Linked DNA regions of Cricetulus griseus. The protein of the gene in region 2 purifies or fractionates together with the protein of the main gene of each other region. This does not show direct contact. Links are inferred from orthologs where the notes say so. Each region holds a gene or a part of one and is shown on either strand. Other genes may lie near its edges. The genes, in order: Napa and Stx4.

The links.
Region 1: the proteins of Stx4 (region 2) and Napa purify together in Homo sapiens (affinity purification with mass spectrometry; 4 studies listed by BioGRID and IntAct, with this or other methods). This does not show direct contact. The link is inferred for Cricetulus griseus from reciprocal best matches to the Homo sapiens genes STX4 and NAPA.

The regions. Positions count from the first base shown.
Region 1 is NC_048602.1:10,772,052-10,775,856, reverse strand, and holds part of Napa (alpha-soluble NSF attachment protein), read right to left. Parts: intron 2,779-3,805; coding exon 2,662-2,778; intron 1-2,661. UniProt on the Homo sapiens protein: Required for vesicular transport between the endoplasmic reticulum and the Golgi apparatus. Together with GNA12 promotes CDH5 localization to plasma membrane.
Region 2 is NC_048596.1:72,932,485-72,936,934, forward strand, and holds the start of Stx4 (syntaxin-4), read right to left. Parts: upstream 2,987-4,450; 5' UTR 2,856-2,986; coding exon 2,826-2,855; intron 2,665-2,825; coding exon 2,563-2,664; intron 2,507-2,562; exon of another isoform or gene 2,485-2,506; coding exon 2,385-2,484; intron 2,244-2,384; coding exon 2,169-2,243; intron 1,308-2,168; coding exon 1,237-1,307; intron 1-1,236. UniProt on the Homo sapiens protein: Plasma membrane t-SNARE that mediates docking of transport vesicles. Necessary for the translocation of SLC2A4 from intracellular vesicles to the plasma membrane.

The DNA.
Region 1 (3,805 bases), on a different chromosome or scaffold from region 2:
CAGGACTGCCCCCGGGCTGAGAGTGGACTGGACTCTCTTGGGATGAGGATGCTAAGGCTACTTCTTGAGGAGACTTCGGTAGCCAAGGTCTGTTGGCATAGGCTCTATTGGTGGGACAGTCCCTGCCACGGCAGTGGGGGAGAAACATGGATTCACAGGGCCTAGTCCTCTTATGCTGGCCCCTTGCTCTGGGAACAGCTTGGAAAGTAGTAGGCTGCCAGCTGACACCCGGGCCTGCTCTTACCACAGGGCTTATCTGATGCCACAGGCCTCAGTGAAACCTTGAAGGTAAATAGTAGGGCCCTTGGTCTATTCCCACCCTCTTGTGCTCAGCCTGTCCAGAGCAGGTAGGGAGTTACAGAGCCCGGCTCACCTCCGCATCACCCTGAAGCCCCTGATCACATGCAGATCTAAGCAAGCACCGTCCACAACAAACTAGGGACAAACCACGAGCTCCAATGAGGCGGTGGGGATAGGTAGATAGGAAGCCAGACTGCTTCCCTGCCCGTGCACATTCACAGCTCATTTAGAGCTCCTGCTCTAAAAGGGTCACATTCCCAGGCCTCAGGCAAGCAGCTCAGGCGAGATTCCTAAAGAGCTGATGGACCAGACCCCAGGGCAGGGGATCTCACAGCTAGCTAAGGGAGGTCCTTCCTGAAGAAACTGGGGGTTCAAGCCTCCACTGGTCATCCAGTTGTTTCCCAGGGCACCCAGCCATGCAGGGAGGCTCTGGTGCCAGGGGCTGCCCCCTTCTGGATGCCAGGAATGAATTGCTGTGTACAGCTCACAGTAGGTGTGTGCTATCACTGAAGAGAGAACACAGCAGAGTGACGGCTAGGCTGAAGTGTAGTGGGGCAGCACAAGTCCCCACTGGGTTCCTTGGAGGAGGGGGAGTGATCTGCTCAGACCACCTGGGCATGTCCTCCCCTGCTTGGTCACTCTTCTCTGTGAGCCCTGACTGGCCCCGCAGAAGAGCTGTCAACCGTGCAAATGCACCCCCTTCCCCTCATATGTGGAACTGTGACTGGGCAGGGCAGCAAGGCAGCAGCGCTGGATGCCACGTGGCTGAGTCCCTAGCCCTTAACACCAGAAGCGCTCCCCTCACAACTGTGCTTTCCCCGTGAGGCAAGTCGGCCCCTCTCTACCTTCACTCACACCCTTGGCTGCAGCACCCTCAATACTTTCCCATCAGCTTGGACTTGCTGAGGCCGGGGCCCATGCCTGGGTCCCGAGAGAAAAAGGACATGACCACAAGCTGGGAGGGGCAGCTATGGCATCCTGCAGGTTGGCATCCACTGCCACCTAGGAACAAGTCCTCCCGGCCATTCCGGCTGGAGCAGCAGCTGAAGGGCACAGATGCCAGGCAGCATCTCCAGGCCAACCAGTTCCCCAGGGAGCAGAAGGGAAAGTGTGGGGACGGCTCTGTGGGGGAGAGGACTGCCCTGAGTCACTGGGTGTATCTAAGTCCTGGCTGAAAGGCCATCCGTCCCTCTCTGTTTGTCAGGCCTGAGCCACACATCATAGCTAAACAAACAGGAGTGACCAGTCAGCCCAGGGACAGAGTCACCACAGTCATCTCTCTAATTGGGAGTGGTCCTGTGACAATGACGGCTGACATCCACTGATGCTGGGGAGGACCGAGGTGCTTGTCTTCTCTTCTCCTCAGAGGTGGGCTTTCACCCAGACCCCAAGCCTCTCCTTTGGGAAAGAACAGTCACTTCTTTCCCACTCTCCTGAGAGAAACAGCCTGGATACTTTAAAGATTTATTTATGAGACACAGTCTCATGTAACCCAGGCTGGCCTCAAACTCACTATGTAGCCAAGAGCTAAGGATAGCTGAGTGTCTGATCTTCCTGTCCCTACTTCCCAAACTCTGGGACGACAGGCAGGCACTGCCATGACTAGCTTAGATGGCCAATTAAACAAACAAACAAACAAACAAACAAATACCTGTGCGTGCTGAAATTTAAAGTTAGTCATCTATGTAGCTCTAAGATTTTCAAAAAGAACCATTTTCAAAAAGAACCAAAAAGAACTGGGGACATGTACAACACATTTGCAGCACACAGAGGTCCAGGCTCCATTCCCAGCACCACAAAAATAAGTGAACAAAAATACCAAAAGCAAATTCCTCAGCCTGGAAATCTCAAGTCTGAGGTCCATGGGCTGTGCTTTGGCCTAACCAGGCTCCTATGTCATAGGCTCTGCTTTAAGGAACTGGGCTCTGGCAGCTCACTCCAGGCTTGCTCTCTCTGCTTCCTTCTGGTGTGCTGGGAAGGCAGGTCAGGCTGACTTCCGCTCTACCTGGTTCATCTGGGACTGCCCCCCTCCCTGCTCCCTGCTTCCTTCTGCATGCTAATTCTGACAACTGAACAGCTTTGCCTGGCTCCCTGGCAAGGAGTGGGCCTGAGATGGAACTCCCACTACCAAATGCTCGAAGCCCAGGAGGGGGTGAGGGCTGCACACCAGGGTGGGGGTGGGGGGTGGGGAGAGAGGGCAGGATGCCAATGTCAGCCAAGGACCAGCCAATTCTGAATTTGGGGCTTGTTTTGCTCCTGGCCTATCATGTGTCAACTACTGGAAAAACCCAGCTCTGTATAGACCCAAGGATGTGGGGACAGTGCTCAGCTGCTCTGCCAGCTGTGGCTCACAGAGGTTACCTTGTGGGTCGGCTTTCTTGAAAGCGTTGCCTGCGTCCACGAAGCAGGTAGCTGCATCATGCTTGCTCTGGAGCTGTAGGTGCAGCTGGGCAGCCTGGCAGAAAGCGTTCCCGGCAGCTGGAATAGAACAGATCGTCCCAGCTTCAATGCAGTTGCAGTCACTGCCCAGAGAGGCACATTAGGCTCACAATTAGAATACAGGTAGAGGCCAAGATCAGCCCACTCCAGCCCAAAAGCAGCCTGAACCCCTCACAGAGCTTCCTGGTGGTATGCACCTGGTAGAGTGAGGACGTCAGGAAGCAGCCTCGGGGGAAGCCTGAGCCCAGGGGCACAGAAACAGCCAGGTAAACACAGTGCCAAACCCATGTCCCCCCCCCCTCTGCCGGCACCTCCAGAGCCACCACTTCCACAGAGAGGAAGGAAAGACAGACAGAGAGCTGAGGGCTGCAAATACATGAGACATGACACCCAGGCTCTTGGGCTCTTTGAACAGGGAAGCCCAGAACCTGAACTAAAGGTGGGGATGGGGCGATTGGGGGGGGGGGAAGGGATGTGCTCTGGGAAGGCACAGGTGAGATCAACCCATGTGACACTTCCCACTTGCTCCCTTTCCTAGCCCATTTCTGTCCTCCACAACTCCCCAAAGCTCTCAGGTGCACCCCTGCTATGTCTGAGTCCTTGCTAGAAAGGGAAACAGGACGAGGACAGCAAGAGCCAGAGTCCGCGCAGACAGTGCTAATGCCCGAGGCAGCCATGGGCTCCACACCATTTTGCTCAGACCTCCCCTAGACTGGCTAAGGGGAGGCAGCAGGGTTTTCCCTGCTGTGGGTGGTGCTCCAATACCACCTCAGCTAAGGCACTACTTTGCATGCTCCTCCAGTCCCAGCTGAGTGGGAGCCTCCAAGCTATGGGAGGTCCCACCTGTCCACTCTCCTGAGCACAGCAGGACACACAAAGCCTGCAAAGGCTTTGCTCCACAGTTATCTGATGATTGTGATCACCTTGTGGGCCTAGGGACAAATGCCAGGCTAACCCTGTCAGATCATCAGTAACAGTAGCAGTAGTCATCATTGTTACAGTAGTGTTTTGGTTTTCTGAGGAAGGCTCTTTTTTATTGCAGAATGATCTCAAATTTCCAATGTAG
Region 2 (4,450 bases):
TGTTTGTTTTTGTTTTTCAAGACAGGGTTTCTCTGTGTAGCTTTGGAGCCTATCCTGGCACTCACTCTGGAGACCAGGCTGGCCTGGAACTCACAGAGATCCGCCTGCCTATGCCTCCCGAGTGCTGGGATTAAAGGCGTGCGCCACCAACGCCCGGCTACAAATGTTCTTAAAAATATATTTTATTATGTGCCTTCATCTGTGGTATCCAAGGAGGTGGAGGGCCTCTTCCTAGAGCTGGAGTTACAGATGGTTGTGAGCCACCTGACATAGGTCACAGCTGGGAACAGCTGAATTCAGTTCCTCTGCAAAAGTGGTGTGTGCTAAGCCATCTCTCCAGTCCCTACATCATACGTTAATATATGTCTTTACTGTGTATGCACGGGGCAGGGCATGTGTGCCATGGCACATGTGTAGAAATCAGAGGACAACTCCCAGGAGTCAGTTCTCTGCACCCCATGGACCTGGGGCTGAATTGGGTTATAAAGCTTAGAAGCAGACACCTTTACCCACTGATCCGTCTTGCAGCCCCTCGCCATCTCTTAAATTCTATCTATGGGGCCAAGGATGTCCTTGCTTGTCATTTTAACTTACATTTATTTATCATTTATTTATTTATTTTTGGTTATTCAAGACAGGGTTTCTCTGTAGATCAGGCTGGCCTCGAACTCAGAGATCCGCCTGCCTCTGCCTTCACACTTGGCTCTTATTATTATTCTTTGATTTATGTGCATTGGTGTTTTACCTACATGTATGTCTATGTGAGAGTGTTAGATCCCCTGGAACTGGAGTTACAGATGGTTGTGAGCTGCCATGTGGGTGCTGGAAATTAAATCTGGGGCCTCTGGAAGAGCAACCAGTGCTCTTAATTACCATTTTTTATTTCTCTCTCTTCTTCCCTGAACAAAGCTATTAGTGACCAAGTCCTACATGAGAAATATCTTTGTTCCCTTTTCAGTCCAAATTCCCCATTTCAGTTTTGGGAAAATATGTCTCTCATAGCCAGGACAGAGTCATGTCTGACATAGCAAATTCTCTTTGAATGGCGGTGGCATGGTGTTATAATGGATTGAGAATTTTGTGACTGGGATCCTCTACCTAGACCAAATAAGCATAAAGGAAATTCATCAGGACAGAGATCCCAGATTCAACGGTCTGTAAGGGTTGCCCAGTCACCAGTTAGTAATCTAAGAAACACTTGATGAAATGTCCTAGTTCTAGGAAAATGAAACCAACCTGGGTTTTTTTCATTCTTGTGTTGACTGAGTTATAATTCTCATCAGCTTCTTCCTTCTGAGGCTCTATGGCTGTGGGAGAAATACGAGGGTTGATGGAAAGAAAAGCTTGCCCTGAGACTTCTAAAAATTGGCTGGGAGGCTAACTGATTTCTGTCTGGGCTAGCCTGATCTACCTACTGAGTCTCAAAAAATAATTAAAAAATTGAAAATACATAATAAAAAATTTTAAATGAATCAAAAAAAATTGTTTGGGTACCAGAATACAGGGCCACATCTACATTCCAGCCACATAATAAGGAAGTTCTTGTCTTCGTAGGATTTTTTTTTACAAAGTGACTTATGAGCAGGGATATATTTTAGTAGTGACACATGATGGAGGAGGAAGGGGGAGGAGGAGGAAAAAAGAAGGAACTAGGAGGAAGAAGAAAGAAGGAAGAAGGGGGTGAGATCAGCCAACTGGACCTGGTTACGGCAGGCCTTTAATCTCAGCATTCAAAAGGCAGGGAAAGATGGATCTCTGTGAATTTGAGGCCAGCCTGGTCTACATAGGAGGAAGAGGTGAGGGAGGGGGAGGAGGAGGCTAATTCTGATCTTCTAAGAGAAGTTTTTCTTTGTATTACATCAGTGGGTTCCCACAAGAGTGAAGGAGCCTCCTAAGAAACCCTCATCCATCTGCTCAAAGAACACACACTGGGCTTCAAGAACTGTAGCAGCAAGTAGTTTTGAATTTAGATGTAAAAATAGTAATAAAGGAATCTGAGAGGCCAGCATGTAATATATGCAAAGTACCAAGGCTTAGATGCCACAGGGCAGAGATCCTAGACCCAGACCTGCTCTGTGACCTGATATATCACTTGACTCCCCAGATACACGAGCATCAGGGCTGAATCACTGGGGATGATCTGGCTGAGGCCCTTGAAGTTCATTCACCTTTTAGCTGTGCCCGGACCTCTCTCCCCAGCTGTTTGATCTCCTCGCGCAGGTTCTGCAGGCCCTGCTTCATGCCTAAATGAGAGAAGGCCAACACTTCCAAACCACAGCCTCCACCACAAACCAAAACCAACCCCACCCCCGGCCAACATCTATATAGGACTACATCCCCCATAATCCACCGGGCTGGCGTACGTGAACCCGGGTTTCGCTTACTCTCCTCGGGAAGGGGCGTGGCCAGAATGGTGACCTGCTGTTTCTCCAACTCCCGGACTTTACTCTCCAGTTTGGCCATAGTTTGCCGAATTGCCTGGACCTAGAGAGGATCACCAAGGGAACTGAAGACATAAGTGGTACTGTAGTCCTCCCTACTGCTCGGTCCTCCGGGCCTTACCTTCTGGAAGAACTCGTCATCTGGGCTGCCCAGCCGGGCGGTACCTGGGTGCACCACCAGCGCGACTCGAGCCTCATCTTCGTCGTCCGAGCTGTTGTCCCCCTGCCAGGGCCGGAGTCATTGGCACCACTCGCTCGCCGCGGTTCTCGCCCCGCAGGAGCTATGGGCTTCCGGGATTTTCCTTCCTGGCCGTCAGCCACCCCTCCCGGACCCCAAACCAGGAGTCCTCAGTCCTGCGCGCCCGCCGGGCCCCAGCTCCTCACCTGCCTCAGCTCATGGGTCCTGTCGCGCATGGCGGCCCGAGCGCCCGGTCCCTGGACCTGAGCCCCGAGGGCCTCAAGGTTCTAAGTTTGGAAGTCCTGCACGAGCTCTCTCTCACTTGACACCCCCTTCCTCACCCTGCGAACCCCCAACGCCCCCACGAGCCCCCAGAGGTCCCGCCCCTTTCACCATGCACAGTCGCCGGGGAGAACCCGACCATAGGACCCCCAAAGTTCTACAGGTTGGAATTCCCTTCTCTTCCCCCCATCCTGCTCCCGCAGCCGCAGCCCCGCCCCTCGGGAGGATGACTCGGAGCATGCGCACGAGGTCTTGTCTCTTCCTCGCTAGGGGGAAAAGGCGGAGGTCGGAAGCAGTCGCGGCCGAACGGAAGCGAGGCCGCCTGGATCGAGAGCCCGTCCGCCCCCCCCCCCTTTCTACCGGAACATCTCATATTGGGACTGGAATCTAGTTGCCCAAAGGGTTGGGGATGCGTCATTTGCACGCAGTCTGAGAGCCTCGTATCTCACATCACCCCATGGCGCCCCCTCATCACGTGACAGACCTGGCCCCGCTCCGCCGGCTGCACGCCCGACAGCCGGTCACGTGTCCCGGCGCTGTCAGCGACGTCTCGGACTTCAGTCTCGCGACGTCCCCGATACCCCTGAGTCTGAGCTGTACCCCTTGCAGAAGGTGGGGAGGGGTACACCGACAGCTCTCAGCCACCTACAGAGGAGACCCTTGTAGACTTCACTTTCTGTTTTAATTTGGGGCCCTAGGGCGTGGGCGATCTGAAGACTTAAATTTGGGGGCTGTCAGTATCACGAGACCTTGAGAGTCAGAACATAATGAGATCGGAGGCTACAGCGTCAGAGGATTGCAGGGTTTTGTAGGCAGACAATCTGGGGGTGGGAAGTGACCTCAGCCAAGGTGGAACTCTTCCCCCTACACACCCTGCGTCCTCCTGGCACAGCCTCTGACAGGTGGGCGGCCTACGCCCTGTGTGAGCACTGCAGTCCCGCTGAGCTCGCCACCTTCAGATTTCAGAGCAGCTCAGACTGAGAGGAATGTATTGTTACCTCCGCAGCCCTGAAGTCCTAGCATGACTTGCTTTTCTTTTACGGAGTCCCCAGCACCAAATTCAGAGCTTGCTACATAATAGGCCCTCACAGCCTTGATCCGAATAGGAGCCTTTCATGTATCTGAAACTAAAGCCTGTGGCTTCTCTCACCGTCCCATTTCCCCAGGTTTGTCTCTCTGGACATATTTATTGGGCACATACTATAGAGCAGATATGTTTTAGGGGCTGGTGACACATCAGAAGCCAACAGACTAAAACCCCATGCACTTGTGGGGCTGTGATGCTTTTCCCTTTAGAAACTCCTGGATTTGGAAATGAGGGGGTGAGGATAATATGGCCCTGACCACCCCGCAGAGGGATGCGGTGTTGGTGGGCTTCTCAGGAGGCCCAGCTCTGCCTAGTGTGGTCCCCTGAAAATAATGTGGAGAAAAGTGCCTACTGTGGGGCCTGACTTTCAAGGTGTCATGATGCTGTCAGCCCCCAAATGGAAGTCTTCAGTTTGTCCATGCCCCTGGGGAACCCCCCAAAACAAACCAAAACATGAATTCT